Linked DNA regions of Callithrix jacchus. The protein of the gene in region 1 interacts with the protein of each later gene in a biochemical or structural test. Links are inferred from orthologs where the notes say so. Each region holds a gene or a part of one and is shown in the gene's direction. Other genes may lie near its edges. The genes, in order: MAPK9, JUNB, ELK1, ATF2 and MAPK8IP3.

The links.
Region 2: the proteins of MAPK9 (region 1) and JUNB form a complex in vitro, tested with the Homo sapiens proteins (2 studies listed by BioGRID). The link is inferred for Callithrix jacchus from reciprocal best matches to the Homo sapiens genes MAPK9 and JUNB.
Region 3: of the proteins of MAPK9 (region 1) and ELK1, one has a biochemical effect on the other in vitro, tested with the Homo sapiens proteins (2 studies listed by BioGRID). The link is inferred for Callithrix jacchus from reciprocal best matches to the Homo sapiens genes MAPK9 and ELK1.
Region 4: of the proteins of MAPK9 (region 1) and ATF2, one has a biochemical effect on the other in vitro, tested with the Homo sapiens proteins (4 studies listed by BioGRID and IntAct, with this or other methods). The link is inferred for Callithrix jacchus from reciprocal best matches to the Homo sapiens genes MAPK9 and ATF2.
Region 5: the proteins of MAPK9 (region 1) and MAPK8IP3 form a complex in vitro, tested with the Homo sapiens proteins (2 studies listed by BioGRID). The link is inferred for Callithrix jacchus from reciprocal best matches to the Homo sapiens genes MAPK9 and MAPK8IP3.

The regions. Positions count from the first base shown.
Region 1 is NC_133503.1:71,371,781-71,375,317, forward strand, and holds part of MAPK9 (mitogen-activated protein kinase 9), read left to right. Parts: intron 1-1,711; coding exon 1,712-1,877; intron 1,878-2,970; coding exon of another isoform or gene 2,971-3,042; intron 3,043-3,162; coding exon of another isoform or gene 3,163-3,191; exon of another isoform or gene 3,192-3,228; intron 3,229-3,381; coding exon 3,382-3,453; exon of another isoform or gene 3,454-3,537. UniProt on the Homo sapiens protein: Serine/threonine-protein kinase involved in various processes such as cell proliferation, differentiation, migration, transformation and programmed cell death.
Region 2 is NC_133523.1:11,614,670-11,618,510, forward strand, and holds JUNB (transcription factor JunB), read left to right. Parts: upstream 1-1,484; 5' UTR 1,485-1,775; coding exon 1,776-2,819; 3' UTR 2,820-3,320; downstream 3,321-3,841. UniProt on the Homo sapiens protein: Transcription factor involved in regulating gene activity following the primary growth factor response. Binds to the DNA sequence 5'-TGA[GC]TCA-3'.
Region 3 is NC_133524.1:48,602,862-48,606,398, reverse strand, and holds part of ELK1 (ETS domain-containing protein Elk-1), read left to right. Parts: intron 1-1,973; 5' UTR 1,974-2,007; coding exon 2,008-2,217; intron 2,218-3,357; coding exon 3,358-3,537. UniProt on the Homo sapiens protein: Transcription factor that binds to purine-rich DNA sequences. Forms a ternary complex with SRF and the ETS and SRF motifs of the serum response element (SRE) on the promoter region of immediate early genes such as FOS and IER2.
Region 4 is NC_133507.1:54,352,826-54,356,362, forward strand, and holds part of ATF2 (cyclic AMP-dependent transcription factor ATF-2), read left to right. Parts: intron 1-1,909; coding exon 1,910-2,116; intron 2,117-2,548; exon of another isoform or gene 2,549-2,622; intron 2,623-3,537. UniProt on the Homo sapiens protein: Transcriptional activator which regulates the transcription of various genes, including those involved in anti-apoptosis, cell growth, and DNA damage response.
Region 5 is NC_133513.1:3,958,971-3,963,192, forward strand, and holds the start of MAPK8IP3 (C-Jun-amino-terminal kinase-interacting protein 3), read left to right. Parts: upstream 1-1,414; 5' UTR 1,415-1,572; coding exon 1,573-1,890; intron 1,891-4,222.

The DNA.
Region 1 (3,537 bases):
CCTACAAACGACACAAACTCATCATTTCTGATTGCTGCATAATATTCCATGGTGTATATGTGCCACATTTTTCCAATCCAGTCTATTATCAATGGGCATAAAATGCTTGTTCTTAACTTATTCTTTGATTTTAAAAAAAAGGAAACGAGAAGCAAATTGCTTCATTTGGTCTTAGCTCCAGACCAAGTCCTCACAGCGGAGAGTCCCTGGTTGAACTTGGGCTGCTTCTCCCCTGGCTTTCCTTCCTGTCGAGCAGCAGCCCAGCTTCTTTCTCTCAGGCCTCTCTGGGAACTGGGGGTGTCTGCACAGTACCCTGAGGTGGAATGGAGGGGCTAGGGGCTTCTTTTGGGGGCCAGGTAGAGATTGTCACTGCATTTTTAAACATTATATATTTATAATTTAAATTTTACAGAATCTAGGCAGCCTAGAAATAGAGCATTTAGCAGCATTGAAATGTAATTGTAACTGTTGTAAATATTCAAACGGCTTCCTGCTTGCCCTGAGAACAGTTCCACAGCCTTCACTGAGGCATACCTGAAACCCCCTTGTGGCCCATCAATTGGGATGTCTTAAAGTCAGGTGCTAGGCAGTTTTATGGAACGTGAAACTCCCCATGTAAAGTATCCTTGGGCTTTACCCTGTGTCAGTGGCTTGGCAATTTGACATTGCAGGTACACATTTTATACTCTTGTGAAAAGAATGGATGTGAGTTGTTTACAAGTCGCAGTCTCTAGCGTGAGTTTGCAGGCTGAAGTCCCCAGGCAAAAGTCAAATTCCTGAGTCCTAAGGAAGGAGGCTAGGGTGGTGGATCAGCAGGAAAAACATCCCTTAGTTATAAGGGAAGAGGTTGCCGAAGTTGTGTTAAGGCTTTGCAAGTGGGGTGGAATAGGATGCATGTCTTCATTCAGCGTACCCTATCCAAGTCGTGGGGGTGAGAAGACTTGAGGTGGATGATGATGGAATTGTTCGTCCAAGGAGAGAAAGAGCCATGGGAACATCCCAGGGTTAGAGGATTCTAGGCCTGTGCTGTCCAGAATGGCAGCCACCAACCACAGGAAGCTGTAGAGTACTCAGGATGTGGCCATGCTGCAGTTGTCAAATACATACTGGACTTCAAAGCCTCAGTACCAAAAAGAGAATATAAAATATCTCAAGGTTTTTCTGATGTTGATTACATTTTGAAATTATAATATGGATATATTGGGTTAAATAAAATATATTATTAAAATTAATTTCACCTATTTCTGTTCACACTGTTGAACATGGCTACTAGAAAATGTAAATTATACACATGGTTCACATTATATGGCATTGTCGATTTAACAGCACTACCCTAGACTGACAGTGAGCACGAGGACCTTAGCAGAAGAGAATCAGAGTATTGGGGAACTGAAGTCCAGGTGTGGAGGACGGGACATGTGGATGCTTAGACGGAGGGTAGACTGAGTAGCCTGAGGGCCTGCAAGGCCACAGAAAGGACAAAGGAAGGCCATGAACGTTTTCATTGGGAGTAAGGGGTACCATCTGACCTCTTTAGACTGATTTGTTTTAGTTTCAATTTCAGAGTAAGATTTTTCAAAATTGTTCCCAAATCCCAGAGTTCAGTTTACTCCCTACACTCTCACACTGGCTTCACAGACCCTTACGGATATGTAGCAGTTTATTTAGCATGCTCTGTTCTTTTTACTGATTTAAACTATTTCTTTCCTAGGATTTGAAGCCTAGCAACATTGTTGTGAAATCAGACTGCACCCTGAAGATCCTTGACTTTGGCCTGGCACGCACAGCGTGCACTAACTTTATGATGACTCCTTATGTGGTGACACGGTACTACCGGGCACCTGAAGTCATCCTGGGTATGGGCTACAAAGAGAATGGTGAGTAAAGGCAGGACTGGAAGAGGCTGAGATGTTTAGAAATTGCTCTAGTGGTGGTCCTGAGTTTTTTCTCTTTCCTTTGAACCATATGGTGTAGACCGTGGGAACTGTTACATATAGAATAGCATGATCCAGAGATAATAAATAATTAATTGTGTTTTTCCATTGGTTAAATCATTCCCTTTTAAAATTTTGCTTTTAAAATTAGTATTTTGAACTTTTTATCGACATTTAATCTACCTATAGCCAAGTGTGCAGATCCTGAGTGTGCAGTTGAGCTGATACGAGCACACCTACAGGACCAGCAGCTCTGGCCTCCCCATAGCCCCTCCTCCTCCCAGCCCACGAAGCTGGCCAATCTCCTGATCTCTAGCACCATGAATTGGTTTTTCTTGTTGGTTTTGTGATATAAATGGATTAATACATGTTCTCTTTCATGTAAAATTGGTATCTTTTTACATCAAAATTTAGCTTATTCTAGCAATATCAGAGCTCTTTGAAACTTGGCTTTTAGCAAATTTGATGAAAATAACTAAATCACACTTACTTTTTTTTATTATTATTAACAAATATTTGGTATTTTCTCAACTTATTTTTAAAAAGACTGAAATTTACCCAGGTCATCTGAAACAAGTTTTACTCCAGGTTTATCTTGCTGCATTGTAGCATGTGTTCCCACCCTGAGAGGCACAGCTTCATGTGCTTCCTGTGGAAGGGAGAGAAAACTAGATCCCCTGTTCACTTCTCCCCCCTGCCCACCAGCAGAGCACTTAGAGGGCTCTGCTGTCTGTCTGAGGCCAGGGGGACCAGCATGGCATCACAGATGAGGGCGGGAAGTCTGGGCCCCTATAGCAGGGTCACATTTGCAGTCCTGCAAGCCAGCCACTGTGTGCTGCATATTCCCCCACCGAGTGCTGCTGCCTTTCTGATAGGGCAGTCTAGAAAATGATCTGCTCATTTGGTGTGGTGTCCACAGTACACAAAAGCTCCTGCTGGCAAGCTGGTGACATTTACTGGGTTTGTCTCTGGGAGGGGGTTTGGAGAAAAGAGATGTGGGGCTGTAGCTGGTTTTTAATCCCCTGGTGTTTGGTAGTGGACATCTGGTCTGTCGGGTGCATCATGGCAGAAATGGTCCTCCATAAAGTCCTGTTCCCAGGAAGAGACTGTATCCTTCACAGGGGACCTGGCACTTGGCCATGGAGGCTGGGGGCAGGGTGGGCATATGACCCTGAAAAGCTTTGTGTTCACAGGCACTTCTTGTTTCTGGTTTTTTGTTTGTTTTAAGCTCTAAAGTATTGGACTCTTTGGCACTAAAACCCCAGATTGCTACAAACTGAAGGCTAAAATAGAGGTCAGCAATCATTCATATTGTGTAAAAAGTTCACCCTTAGCTAGCAATTTATTTTTCCATATTTGTGTGTTTAGTGCACTGTTAGAATTCCTTTTCCTCACCTTTGTTTTGCTCATGGCACTTCATAATTTTATCATTTCATTTTATTTTCAGTTGATATCTGGTCAGTGGGTTGCATCATGGGAGAGCTGGTGAAAGGTTGTGTGATATTCCAAGGCACTGACCGTATCCTTCCCCGCGACCTTGGCCCCGCCATGCTTTCCATAATGTCTCAGGCAGCATGACCACCTGCTTACACGAGCACTCACA
Region 2 (3,841 bases), on another chromosome or scaffold:
GGGCCACCCGGCCCTGAGTCCTGCCGGCGGACTCCCGCCTGTTGCCATGGCGACCAGGCCCAGCTCTTGGGCTGCGTTTCCCGCTGTCGGTCCAATGGAACAGTCCCCAAGCTGTCTGCCTCGGCGATCCCCAGCAGGCGCCGCGGGAGGAACCATTGCCTGGGGGGAGAGGATGGTAGCTGGAGGCTTCTGCTGCTGGGCCGGCTCCAAGCACCAGGGCCTCCGCGTGGGCTCGCACGCCCAGGTTCCTCTTCCGAGGCGCAGGATGCGGCGGGACCCAGGGCGGGGCGCAAGGTCCCGTAGGATCCGAGTGACGGAGACAGGGCCGGGCTCCTTCCCCCGGGGCTGTTGCCACACTTCCTGCCTCGGCGCTCTTTCCCCAGCCTGTTTCTAAGGAAGGGAGTGTGGGGTTGGGCGACCGCGCCCCAGCCGTCGGGCTGGGTCCAGGCGCCGACAGGGTGTCGGGCAAAGCCCAGGGTCAATAGGGGAAGAGTTTTAGGATGGGGGACAGGGAATGCAGATGCCTAAGGGGTCACCCACGAGGGGGAGCACCAGTCATGGAAGATCAGCAGTCCGGGTGCGTGGACCCCAAAGCCCCCTCCTCACGTCAACTGAGTACCCTCTTACTGTCTTCTCTGCTCCGAAGATGGATCCGGATCCTTCTATCTCTCCTTCATCCAGGCTTCGCGGATAACTCCAGTGGTCCCCAATCTCTGCTAGACGTCTACATCTTCTACCCCGCACATTTTACCTGCCTCAGTGTACAGCAGGACCCTTATTCGCTTTCTGCATATCTAGATTTCTCCTAATTCCTCTTTCCCACGTATGGGGAGCTCTCAGATCCTCCCATGGGCTTCGGGACCCCTACTCATTTCTTGCAATTTAATGGGTCATGCAGCCCACCACTGTCCCCTTTTGATCTCTCCTCTCCTCCATCCTGTGAAAATTCCAGTACTCCATCCCTCTGTGCTTGGGGCCCCCAGTCAATTCCTGTGTCAGGTCTCTCCTTACCCCTCCCGATTTACCGTTAGTAACCCTCATTTCTGCTTTTTGGGGTCTCCCAATGAATTGTCAGTCCTTCCACCCCTCTCGTACTCTGGGTACCTCAGGGTTTCTTCGAACACCCTGGGATCTCCACCCCATTTGCTCCGTACCAGGTCCTGGTATTTGTCCCAGTGGGCTGGAGGGAAATCATCCTCCTCCCTGAGCGCCCTCACTCATGTGTCCAGGCCCCTCAGCACCTCCTTCCACGCGGACCCCGGGGTCCTTTGAGCCCCTCCCCCTGCAGCCCCGCCGAGCCACCCGGCCCGTGGCCGCTGTTTACAAGGACACGCGCTTCCTGACAGTGACGCGAGCCGCCTCCTCCCCTTCCCCACGCTCGAGGAGGGGGGCGCGGGGGCCCGGCTCCGGCGACGGCCAATCAGAGCGCACTTCCGTGGCTGACTAGCTTCTGTATAAAGGCGTGTGGCTCAGGCTGAGCGGCTGGGACCTGGAGAGCGGCCGGACCAGCTTCGGAGCCAGCAGGGAGCCGGGAGCTGGGAGCTGGGGGAAACCACTCCAGGAAAGCTAGCGCGCCGAAGAGGGTGAGGGGGACTCGAGAAGCCTGACAGCTTTTGCGTACAGCTTCCGGCTGGCTGCTCCCCGCCCGCGCCAGCCCCGGAGAACGCGCGACCAGGTACCCAGTCCGGCCACCGCAGCGGAGAGCGCGGCGCTCGCTGCAGCGAGGCCCGGGGCGGCCCCGCAGGGACCTTCCCCCGACCGCCTGGGCCGCCCGGATGTGCACTAAAATGGAACAGCCCTTCTACCACGACGACTCATACACTCCTGCGGGATACGGCCGGGCCCCCGGTGGCCTCTCTATACACGACTACAAACTCCTGAAACCCGGCCTGGCGCTCAACCTGGCCGACCCCTACCGGAGTCTCAAAGCGCCTGGGGCTCGGGGATCCGGCCCAGAGGGCGGCGGTGGCGGCAGCTACTTTTCTGGTCAGGGCTCGGACACCGGCGCGTCTCTCAAGCTCGCCTCTTCGGAGCTGGAACGCCTGATCGTCCCCAACAGCAACGGCGTGATCACGACGACGCCTACACCCCCAGGACAGTACTTTTACCCTCGCGGGGGTGGCAGCGGTGGGGGTGCGGGGGGCGCAGGGGGAGGCGTCACCGAGGAGCAGGAGGGCTTCGCCGACGGCTTTGTCAAAGCCCTGGACGACCTGCACAAGATGAACCACGTGACACCCCCCAACGTGTCCCTGGGCGCTAGCGGGGGGCCCCCGGCTGGGCCCGGGGGCGTCTACGCCGGCCCGGAGCCACCTCCCGTTTACACCAACCTCAGCAGCTACTCCCCAGCCTCTGCGTCCTCAGGAGGCGCCGGGGCTGCTGTCGGGACTGGGAGCTCGTACCCGACGGCCACCATCAGCTACCTCCCACACGCGCCGCCCTTTGCCGGTGGCCACCCGGCGCAGCTGGGCTTGGGCCGCGGCGCCTCCACTTTCAAGGAGGAACCGCAGACCGTGCCGGAGGCGCGCAGCCGGGACGCCACGCCGCCGGTGTCCCCCATCAACATGGAAGACCAAGAGCGCATCAAAGTGGAGCGCAAGCGGCTGCGGAACCGGCTGGCGGCCACCAAGTGCCGGAAGCGGAAGCTGGAGCGCATCGCGCGCCTGGAGGACAAGGTGAAGACGCTCAAGGCCGAGAACGCGGGGCTGTCGAGTACCGCCGGCCTCCTCCGGGAGCAGGTGGCCCAGCTCAAACAAAAGGTCATGACCCACGTCAGCAACGGCTGTCAGCTGCTGCTTGGGGTCAAGGGACACGCCTTCTGAGCGCCCCTGCCCCCTTACGGACACCCCCTCGCTGGACGGCTGGGCGCAAGCCTCCCACTGGGGTCTAGGGGGCAGGCGGTGGGCACCTACCCTGGGACCTGGGAGCGCCGCTAACCACACTGGACTCCGGCCCTCCCGCCCTGTGCCCAGTCCTTCCACCTCGACGTTTACAAGCCCCCCCGGTTCCACTTTTTTTTGTATGTTTTTTCTGCTGGAAACAGACTCGATTCATATTGAATATAATATATTTGTGTATTTAACAGGGAGGGGAGAAGGGGGCGATCGCGGCGGAGCTGGCCCCGCCGTCCGGTACTCAAGCCCACGGGGACATTGGGAAGGGGACCCCCGCCCCCTGTCCTCCCCTCTCTGCACCGTACTGTGGAAAAGAAACACGCACTTAGTCTCTAAAGAGTTTATTTTAAGACGTGTTTGTGTTTGTGTGTGTGTTTGTTCTTTTTATTGAATCTATTTAAGTAAAAAAAAAAATTGGTTCTTTATTAATTTCTGTTGTCTTTTTTTCCAAGCTGGGAGGGCCGAGGGAAAAAAAAAGCAATGGTTTGCCCCAGCTCAGTGCTGTAAGTGGCTCGGTCCTGTGTGTGTTCCCCTCTTCAGCTCTGCGCAGGCATCTTGTGGCCCGCCCGGGAGTCCCACCCTATACGCGCCTCCTGATCTCCAGGGTTGGATGGTCGGGGCGCGGGGCGCGGGGCGCGGGACGCGATTTCGGAGCCCAGTAGCAAAAGGCAGGGAGCTCTGCGCGAGACGCGGAGTGCGCAGGCGCGGCCCCGCCCAGCCGCGCGCGCCGGGGCTTTCCCCGCTGACGCAGCGGAAGCGCTGCCCATATAAGGACCGATTCTGCCCAGTGACGCGACCGCGGTCTCTGGGCAGATTCCGGGAATCCCCTCCCCCGCTCTGCCGGGCAGGGCCGCGGCGCCGGGAAGGGGGCCGGGATTTTCCCGGGCAGGCGGCTGCCCGGGCACGGAAAGCCCCAGGCCTGGGTCCAGAGCGGCCGCGGTGGGCGGGCA
Region 3 (3,537 bases), on another chromosome or scaffold:
GTTTTGCTGCCAAAAGAGTTAAAAGAAGCTTTCTGTTTTTAGAGCATTTTTGGATTTTGGAATAGCAGATAAGGGACTGTGAACAAAATCAGCAACTAATATTTAGAGCTTATCATACACCTCAGGCATATGATATTTCATACATACAATATCCCTATGAACTACGTATTATTGCTATCCTATTTTACCAATGGGCATATCATTATCTCCATTTTACAGGTGAGAAAATTGAGGTACAAAGAGGTTAAAGATTATCGGCCAAGCATGGCGCCTCATGCCTGTAATCCCAGCACTTCAGGAGGCCAGGGAGAGAGGATTGCTTGAGCCTGAGAGTTTCAGAACAGTCTGGGCAAGGTAGTAAGACCCCCATCTCTAAAAAACGAAAAAGAATATGCCCAGGGTCACACAGCTAATAAGTGGCAGAACCAGGATTCAAACACTGGAAGTTTGGCCCTAGTGCCTGGGCAGTTGTCCAGCAGGCCACGTTGCCTCTCAGCTTAGAACAGTGCCTGATGCGTATTAAGCTGTCCATAGATGTTAATTATTACTGTCATCAAGAAAGAACATTCAGGTCCGAGCACGGTGGCTCGTGCCTGTAATTCCAGCACTGGGAGGCTGAGGTGGGAGGTAGGTGGATCACTTGAGGTCAGGAGTTCAAGATCAGCCTGGCCAACATGGTGAAACCCCATCTCTACTAAAAATACAAAAGTTAGGCAGGCATGGTGGTGGGTACCTGTAATCCCAGCTATGCAGGAGGCTGATGCATGAGAATCGCTTGAACCTGGGAGGCAGAGGTTGCGGTGAGTCAGGATTGTGCCACTGCACTGCACTCCAGCCTGGGCGATAGAGAGAGACTCCATCCCCCCAAAAAACAAAAACAAAAAAAAGAGAACATTCACGGACAGTAACAGGACAGAGAGAACAGGTGTTCAGTTTTAGGATGGCTTCATAAAGGAAAGGACCTTTGAGCTGGGACTTGAAAGGTAAGGAAGACTGCTAGGTGGAAGAAGGAAGCCCCACGTTGAGTGAGTAGCGTTTGCAAGGGTCTGGCAATAAAAAAAAAACCTGAAAACTTGACATTGATATGGTAGAAGATACAGATAATGCCCGAGTGAGGGGGATGGAACTAGTTTTCTATTCTCGCTGTAATAAATTATCACAAACTTAGCCACTTAAAACAACGCATTTGTTATCTTATAGTTGTGTAGGTCAGAAGTCCCACACTGGTCTCAGTGGGCTGGAATCCAGGTGTTGGCAGAGTTGTGTTCCTTCTGAAGGCTCTAGGGGAAAACCCGTTTCCTGCTCATTCAAGTTGTTGGCAGAATCCAATTCCTTGAGGTTGTAGGACTGAAGTCCCTGTTTCCTTACTGTCTGTCGGCTGGTAGCCATTCCCAGCTCTAAGAGGCTGCCCACAGTCCTTGGCTCTGAGCCCCCTTCCTCCATCTTCAGAGCCAACAATGGCAGGTTGAGTTCCTCTCACATTTCAAATCTCCCTGCCTCTTCTGTCGTCACATCTCTGAGCTACCTTTCTTCATCATCTGCTTTTCAGAGCTCATATGATTAGATTGAATTTACTCAAATAATCTCCCTATCTTAAGGTTTGTAACCTTAATTTCATCTGCAAAGTTCCTTTCTGCTGTGTAGTATAAATAACACATCCAGGGATTACGATATGGAGCAGGGGTGGCATCATTTGGCCTACCACAGTCTGCCCTCTGACCCTCATAGATTGACATTTGTCCCACATGGAAAATAAATTCACACCATCCTAAGATACCCACGAATTGTATTCATAACAGGGAGCAGCCCATGCTAGACTGGGCAGCTAGAAGTTAGCCTGGGGATGTTGAGGGAATGATGGTAGGGTTTGAGGACAGAGATGGAAAAAAGATGACAGAAAAAGGAACCCTCCCCCCGCTGACCCCTTCCCCTCCTATGTCCACTGCCTGTCAACTCAGCTGTTCGCTCTCCAGGTACCCCTGGGATGGCGTGAGCACTCCCCCAGCGATGGACCCATCTGTGACGCTGTGGCAGTTTCTGCTGCAGCTGCTGAGAGAACAGGGCAATGGCCACATCATCTCCTGGACTTCACGGGATGGTGGTGAATTCAAGCTGGTGGATGCAGAGGAGGTGGCCCGGCTGTGGGGGCTACGCAAGAACAAGACCAACATGAATTACGACAAGCTCAGCCGGGCCTTGCGGTACTACTATGACAAGGTACAGTCTCTGAGACCAGAGCTGGGACCCCCTGACATAAATATATAAATAGATATAAATATGAGAGATATTTCTTTTGTTTTAATTGCTATAGCTATGAATATTTATACCAGTATTTTTAATATTCTTGTCTAATTGCTGTTGTTGCTTCATTTTCTTACCACTTTAGCTTCAGCCTCCACAGTGGTGGTAATAAGGAGGCCTCCTCACCCTGTCCTCTGCAGTGACCTTGCCCTGTTCCACTTCTGTGTCATTAGCTTCAAATAATCCTCTGTATGAATAATTCATCACCCCATCCATCTACATTAATATACTGTCTTCCAGCATTTATATCAGTTACTTCATTTTCTTATCTTATTGCATTTGCTAGTCACCAGAACTGTGTCCTGACAGCCACCCACAAGGCCTGGTCCTGTGAACCCCTGGTTCTTGGAGCCAGGAGGAAGACCTATTCCCATACCTATTCCCTTTCATCCCACTGTGAAGAGGAAGTTATAGGACTGAAGTCCCTGGTGGGTCGGGGAGGGAAAATCAGATAGACAGACCTGGAGAGTGACAGAGGGGAGACTTGGAGAGGGGTTGATGGGAAGGGGCTTAAAGAAAGAATTGTCGGCTGGTCACGGGTGCTCATGCCTCTAATCCAGAACTTTAGGAGGCTGAGGCAAGCGGATCATGAGGTCAGGAGATCAAGACCATCCTAGCCAACATGGTGAAACCCTGTCTCTACTAAAATTACAAAAATTAGCCAGGTGTGGTGACATGTGCCTGTAGTCCCAGCTACTTGGGAGGCTGAGGCAGGAGAACTGCTTGAACCTGGGAGGCAGAGGTTGCAGTGAGCCAAGATCACACCACTGCACTCCAGCCTGGGCAACAGAGCAAGACTCCAGCTCAAAAAATAAAATTGCTGTGGGGAGAAGAGAGAAAGGGAGAGACTGGGGAGGGATACAGACAAGGGGATTCTAGGGGGAGAGGAAATGGGCTGGGAGGGGAACTTACAGAGACTGGAAAGCCGGAGGGGGGCAAGTAGAGAGAAGCCACTAGGAGAAGAGAAACACCACTCTGCCCTTCTTCTCCTCTGACACCCTGCCTCCAGCCTGCCCCTTTCCTCTAAGGCCCTCTGTTCCTCTCCTCCCTTCCTAGAATATCATCCGCAAGGTGAGCGGCCAGAAGTTCGTCTACAAGTTTGTGTCCTATCCTGAAGTTGCAGGGTGCTCCACTGAGGACTGCCTGCCCCAGCCAGAGGTGTCTGTTAACTCCACCATGGCAAATGTGGCCCCTGCTGCTATACATGCCACCCCAGGGGACACTGCCTCGGGAAAG
Region 4 (3,537 bases), on another chromosome or scaffold:
ATGCCCCCACACTTAGCTAATTTTTAAAATTATTTGTAGAAATGAGGTTTTGCTATGTTCCCCAGGTGTAAAATACTTTATAAATGAAATAACTCTCTTTGTAATGCCAGTTATTAGGACAAAGAAATAATAACTGTATTTTTTAGAATTTGTAGAGTGAAAAATAGTTTGGTAATTTACATGAAGAATTTATCTTGAGCCCTATATAAGATTTTAATTACATAGATTAGGAGAAAACAAATTTTATTTGTGCATATTATTTTTTAATAAATTATAGGTAAAAGATTGTTTTCAGGCTTCTCCTTTGGATCACGTGCCTATGGCCACAAAGTTTTCTTTTCTCTGCACCATTTCCAAGAGTTCATTATCTTTTTTCTTTCTTTTTTTTGAGACTGAGTCTTGCTCTGTTGTCCAGGCTGGAGTGCCCTGGCATTGTCTCAGCTCACTGCAACCTCTGCCTCCCAGTTTCAGGCAATTCTCGTGCCTCAGCCTCAGGAGTAGCTGGGATTACAGGAATGCGCCACCATGTCGGGCTAATTTTTCTATATTTTTATTAGAGATGGGGGTTTTACCATGTTGGCCAGGCTGGTCTCGAACTTCCAACCTCAAGTGATCTGCCCGCCTCGGCCTCCCAAATGCTGGGATTACAGGCATGAGCCACTGCACCTGGCCAAGAGTTTATTTTCTAATGTCCATATTCATTTGTTCTGTGGTACAATTTTGGGGCTTGAGAAAGGCTTGAAGGTACCTATTGTTCAATAGTCTGAGACACAAGACAATGTAACTAGTGACTGAGTTCAATAGTCTTAGACACCAGACAATATAACTAGTGACTGAAGATTTCCTTCTCTGGCTAATCTGAGATAACCAAGCTGATTTGTTGGAGAGCAGAAGGGAGCAAATAAAATGAAAATTTTAAAGTTCCTGTGGGATTCTCCCTACCAGAAAAATTAGCCTTAATAAATACAAGAACTTGACCCTTAGAAAAAGACTATGACCTTAAATTTCACAAACTGAAGAAAAGCTGAATATACCAAAGAATATACATATTTTCACTCCATAACTTTAGAGAAGCCAGTTTTCTTTAAGAAAATTGACATTTAATATGAGATATTTAATTTAAAAATAGCATAGAAATTATGGTTTACTATCATGGATTTAAATAGGAAGCTATTAAACGTTTTAATTGAGAAATTTATAATCACTAGTTTTCCAGGGATTGAATAATACAATAAAGTCTGTTAAAATACACTTGGAAAAATATTTCTATGTATCATTTATATTGTATTTTGATTTTTTTCATATTTGCACATAAATGAAACTATACATACTTTAAAGAATACATTTGCTATTACATTGCATTAGTGAGAATTGTATTATATAGCATAGCTCATAAGTATATTTAAGAAAGAAGTTAAACCACTTAAGGGTGATTTTCTTTTTCTTTTTTTTTTTAATCTTTTTTTTTTTTTTTTTTAAGACAGAATTTCACTCTTGTCACTCAGGCTGGAGTGCAATGGTGCAATCTCAGCTCACTGCAACCTCTACCTCCTGGGTTCAAGGGATTCTCCTGCCTCAACCTCCCACGTACCTGGGATTACAGGTGCATGTCACCACACCCAGCTAATTTTGTATTTTTAGTAGAGACGGAGTTTCTCTATGTTGTCCAGGCTGGTCTCAAACTCTAGACCTCAGGTGATCGCCCACCTCGGCTTCCCAGAGTGCTGGGATTACAGGCATGAGCCACCGTGCCCGGCCACAGGGTGATTTTCATATTGCGCCAACATGCTTATGTATTCAATCAGACTTAGAAAATACAGTTGCTGTCCCTCTTTGACACCCTTTATTGTCTATGTTAATTCACTCACTAAATACAAATATAACAAGTTTTCCTCTCTGTTTATAATAGGCTTCTCCAGCTCACACAACTCCACAGACCCAAAGTACAAGTGGTCGTCGGAGAAGAGCAGCTAATGAAGATCCTGATGAAAAAAGGAGAAAGTTCTTAGAGCGAAATAGAGCAGCAGCTTCAAGATGCCGACAAAAAAGGAAAGTCTGGGTTCAGTCTTTAGAGAAGAAAGCAGAAGACTTGAGTTCTTTAAATGGTCAACTGCAGGTATGGTGCATATATGTGAATTTTGTTTTATTCATTTCTTTTTAAATAATTGTGAATATAGCTATTTTCTTTTTATTCTAGTTGGCCCTCCAAACATTTTAGGACATAATATTGGGTGTGTATGGAACTGTAGAAAATCATAGTTTTGTAAGCCTGTTTGTTTGAATGCTGGGATGAAGTAATATAAAACTTTCAACACTGATACAATGAGGAAATTTAAAACATGTTTACCTGCTTATAAAAGTAGCCAAACTTATCTGGTTTGAACTTTATAAAGTTGTGATATTAAGTGCAGATAATTTAAAAATTTTAAAATATCAGTTATTTCACTCATCTTTGGTTTATAGCACAACTAAAGTTGCTTCAGTAGCAGTTTTTAAATTCTTTCATTCTTTGAATTATAAATTTTGTTCTGTTTTGTTTTATTTAAAGAGAATATATTGCTCGTGAAATGTGCCAGATTGACAGCTTTGGAAACTGAAGGACTCTAATTATCCACAGACCAGGTACAATATGGCCAGTGGCAATACAGATCATTTCATACTGCCCTGCCAATGTGCCTCAGATACATTTCTTTAAAACCTCATGGAGTATAAAGTTTTAAGACAGCACCAAATCTGTTTTTTGTTTTGTCTTTCTTCCTTCCTTTTGTTTTTGTTGTGTTTTTTAATGTAAATATTCTCCCATATAATCTTAAACTACCAGTTGATTGATGAGTATCAACTAGAAAATTTATGTTATGAATTGCAGTTGTTATTAATCTAGCCCAATCTCCTGAATTATCCATACCCAGTTAAAAGTGAATCTTTCCATATAATCATAATTGATAGTAAGAAACCTGCTGTCTTCTTAAAGCCGTCTATAAAGATGTCACCAATATAATTGTCTGTTTAAATGGTTAGGAAACAGTTTTTAGCATCAGACATAGCATTTAACCAAATGTAAATTTTATAATGTAAATTATTTTAAATCTGAAGCAGACATCTTTCAAGTCTTTATTATGCTTTGCATATTGATATAATAGAATAGATTGTCTTGCAAAACATTTTTAACGATTTTATTTTAATGATTTAGAAGAAATTTAAATACAACTTACCACATCACATAGACTTAAAATATGTGCCTATCTTCTAGGGTTAAGAAATATATTTTATCATTTGTCAACTGATATATATGTAAAAATTTTTTTTTTTTTTTTTTTAGATAGAGTCTCACTCTGTTATCACCCAGGCTGGAGTGCAGTGGTGTGCTCTTGACTCACTGCAACCTCCACCTCCCAAGTTCAAGTGATTGTCCTGTCTCAGCCTCCCAAGTAGCTGGGATTATAGGTGCACGCAACTATGCCTGGCTAATTTTTGTATTTTTAGTAGAGATGGAGTTTTACCACATTGGCCAGGCTGGTCTCCAACTCCTGACCTCAG
Region 5 (4,222 bases), on another chromosome or scaffold:
TGCCCAGCAAAATAAAGTGCAAATCTTCTGGAACAACACATTAAGTTCAGGCCTCAAGTACTTCCAGAGAGAAAGTCGTGAGGACACTAGCTCAGAATGGGGGAAGGGGAGCCTGCGCCAAGAGTCAACCAGGATGACATGCAGAATCAGACCTGCAAAGGCTGCAGACACGTACTTATGAGACACACACAAAGCTTAAAAAGATAACTACGTGTTTGGAAGTAGTAAGAACCTATCAAAATGCTAAAATATTAGAAATCAAATAGGTCAAAAATAGAATCATTGGCTGGGCACAGCCTCACTTGGGGAGTGAGGTAATCCCAGCACTTGGGGAGGCTGGCCAATATGGTGAAACCCCTGCCTCTACTAAAAATACAAAACATAAGCCAAGTGTAATGGCGCACGCCTGTAGTCCCAGTTACTCGAAAGGCTGAGGCAGTCGAATCGCATGGACCCCGGAGGCAGAGGTTGCAGTGAGCCGAGATCGCGCCACTGCAGTCTATCCTGGGCGACAGAATGAGACTTGGTCTCACCACCCAAAAAATTATATACATATCTTTGAAATTAGTAACTCAGTGGACGGGTAACAGATTGCACAGAGCTGAAATGTTCGGTGCCGTGGCTCACGCCTCTCATCCCAACATTCTGGGTGGCCGAGTCAGGAGGATCACTTGAGGTCAGGAGTTCGAGACCAGCCTGGCCAATATGGTGAAACCCCATCTCTACTAAAAATACAAAATTATCTGGCCTGTAATCGCAGGTACTCGCAAGGCTAAGCCAGGAGAATGACTTGAACCCGGGAGGCAAGGGTTGCAGTGAGCCGGGATTGCGCCACTGTATCCAGCCTGAGTGACAGAGCGAGCCTCCATCTCGAAAGAAAAAAACCGGAAAATCTGAGTAAGTCACACTGTGCAGTAGGGAGAAGTGGGCGAAAGGAAGAAGGCCACTCTGCCGGGTTTCAGGATGAGATGGGCGTTGAAGATGCATTCACAGAATCCCGGGAAGAGCCAGCTGAGTTGGGAGGCACCAGGAGAGGGGAGGCGCCGGGCGCGGACTGAGCTGGGCGCAGTGCCGCAGGGAACGTAGGCGCATCAGGGCGGTCGGGAGGAGGCGCAGGCGCTGAACCTTCACCTAAAGCCGCTGGTGCGTGCAGAGCCTGGGGACGCGAACGAGGTCACCGGAAGCCCAGGGTGGCCGAGACGTGCTCAAGCTACCGCGCGCTGCGGACAACAGGCGCCGCCCCGGGGCTCCCACCAGCCAGCCTAACCAGGAGCGCCCCCAGCCCGGCTCAGTCGCGCTTCCGGCCTAAAGCCCGGCTTCCTCTGACGTCACGGCCCCTGCGCCCCCTGGCGGCGCGGCCGCCGCAGGACGCGCGGGCACCGCCCCCTCCGGCTGGCGGGCGGGACTTCCGGCTAGTGAGTGACGGGCGCAGCCTCGGCAGCGGCGGCGGAGCCCTGAGGCGACAGCAGCTGCAGGAGGCGACGGGCCGCGGCCTGCGGGACCTGAGGCAGCCGGGGCGGGCCGGGCGAGCCGGCCGGAGAGCTAGCCGCGCTGGCGGCGGCGGTGGCCGCGATGATGGAGATCCAGATGGACGAGGGCGGCGGCGTGGTGGTGTACCAGGACGACTACTGCTCCGGCTCGGTGATGTCGGAGCGGGTGTCGGGCCTGGCGGGCTCCATCTACCGCGAGTTCGAGCGCCTCATCCACTGCTACGACGAGGAGGTGGTCAAGGAGCTCATGCCGCTGGTGGTGAACGTGCTGGAGAACCTGGACTCGGTGCTCAGCGAGAACCAGGAGCACGAGGTGGAGCTGGAGCTGCTGCGCGAGGACAACGAGCAGCTCCTCACCCAGTACGAGCGCGAGAAGGCGCTGCGCAGGCAGGCGGAGGAGGTGCGTGGCCGCGGGGCCCCTGGGCGCCCGCCCCGGGACTCCTCACTCCAGACCCAGACCCCAGACCCAGACCCCAGACCCCGCCCCGGGACTCCTCACTGCAGACCCAGACCCCAGACCCCGCCCCGGGACTCACTCACTGCAGACCCAGACCCCAGACCCAGACCCCGCCCCGGGACTCACTCCAGACCCAGACCCCAGACCCCGCCCCGGGACTCACTCACTGCAGACCCAGACCCCAGACCCAGACCCCGCCCCGGGACTCACTCACTGCAGACCCAGACCCCAGACCCCGCCCCGGGACTCCTCACTCCAGACCCAGACCCCAGACCCCGCCCCGGGACTCCTCACTCCAGACCCAGACCCCAGACCCAGACCCCAGACCCCGCCCCGGGACTCCTCACTCACTCCAGACCCAGACCCCAGACCCCAGACCCCGCCCCGGGACTCCTCACTCCAGACCCAGACCCCAGACCCAGACCCCAGACCCCGCCCCGGGACTCCTCACTCACTCCAGACCCAGACCCCAGACCCCAGACCCCGCCCCGGGACTCCCCCACCCCCTCTGCCCCCCCGGACCCAGACCCCGCCCCGGGACTCACTCCAGACCCAGACCCCAGACCCCGCCCCGGGACTCACTCACTCCAGACCCAGACCCCAGACCCAGACCCCAGACCCCGCCCCGGGACTCCCCCACCCCCTCTGCCCCCCCGGACCCAGACCCCGCCCCGGGACTCACTCCAGACCCAGACCCCAGACCCCGCCCCGGGACTCACTCACTCCAGACCCAGACCCCAGACCCAGACCCCAGACCCCGCCCCGGGACTCACTCACTCCAGACCCAGACCCAGACCCCAGACCCCGCCCCGGGACTCCCCCACCCCCTCTGCCCCCCCGGACCCAGACCCCGCCCCGGGACTCACTCCAGACCCAGACCCCAGACCCCGCCCCGGGACTCCTCACTCACTCCAGACCCAGACCCCAGACCCCAGACCCCGCCCCGGGACTCACTCCAGACCCAGACCCCAGACCCAGACCCCGCCCCGGGACTCCAGACCCAGACCCCGCCCCGGGACTCCCCCACCCCCTCTGCCCGCCCCGGACCCAGACCCCGACCCGGGACTCCGGGACCCCTCGGCGCCCGCCCCGGCACTCACTCCAGACCCAGACCCCGCCCCGGGACTCCGGGACCCCTCGGCGCCCGCCCCGGACCCAGACCCAGAACCCAGACCCCGCCCCGGGACTCCGGGACCCAGACCCCGCCCCGGGACTCCCCCACCCCCTCTGCCCGCCGCGAGACGTCTCCCTAGAGCACCCCCCGCCTGCCCAGGCCTGGGCCCTGGCCCCCTCCTGCAGGCCCTCCAAACCCGCTGTGCCTGGCGTCGTCCCCGGGGAGCTCAGCCTCAAAGCCGGGCCCCGCTGTCTCCCCCGCCCCGCAACCTCTGCGTGCCGGTTCCCTTTGCTTTGGTGCCTGTGTTGAGTCCAAACCGCTTTCCAGACCCCGAATGCTCCTACCTCTGTCAGCCGCCGTTCTAAACCCATCTGGAAAAGGAATCTGGTTTTCTGAGGGTGCTGCGGCCTCTGTGCAGAGGTCGGAGACCTGTCCCTTGTCCCTGACCCCGTGTTTGAAGGTCTGACATGGGGGAATTGACCGCTTGATGTAAACACAGAGCAAGGCCGCGGACGAGCTGCCCCTGTCGGCAGGCCGAGCACCCGCCTTCTAGAGGTGATCTCTTTGCCCCTCGGTTCCCTGCCTGGCGAGGCCAGCGCTCAGAAACTCCACTCTGGCTTCTGAGGAGTTAAAAGTCCGAGTTCGGAGCGTTTAATTCTGTTCTAGGATGTCGCCATCACCTGGAAATCGCTGATTTGTGAAGCCGGTGGAAGCCCTGCCCGTAGGGAGCACCACTTAGCTTCATTGATTCACCATCAGATACTGAGGGGGCCCAGAGCCTCGCCCTTGGTCGGAAGCAGGTTCGGGGCGCGCTGGTTCCCGTCCCTGCTTTGCCTCTGTGACCTTGGCCTGTCGCCTGCCCGGGTTTGGATTTTCCATCAGAGGAGTGAATTGCGCTAGGCGGTCTCTAAGCTCAGACATTTTCCCATTCTGGGAGTTAGGTGATGCCGTCGGACTTGTGAATAGGACGTATCTTAGGAAACGACTTTAAATTCCTTTCAGTTAATTCGGCTTCACATGTTCTTGACTTTATATGAAAATAAGAGTTTTTCAGCATTTTGGCTTTTTCTGAAACCACGGTGAGTTATGCCCGAGTGTGGTTTAGAGCATGTTTATAAAAAACAGTCGTATCATTGCCCCTTACTGTGGTTTCTGTTGCGT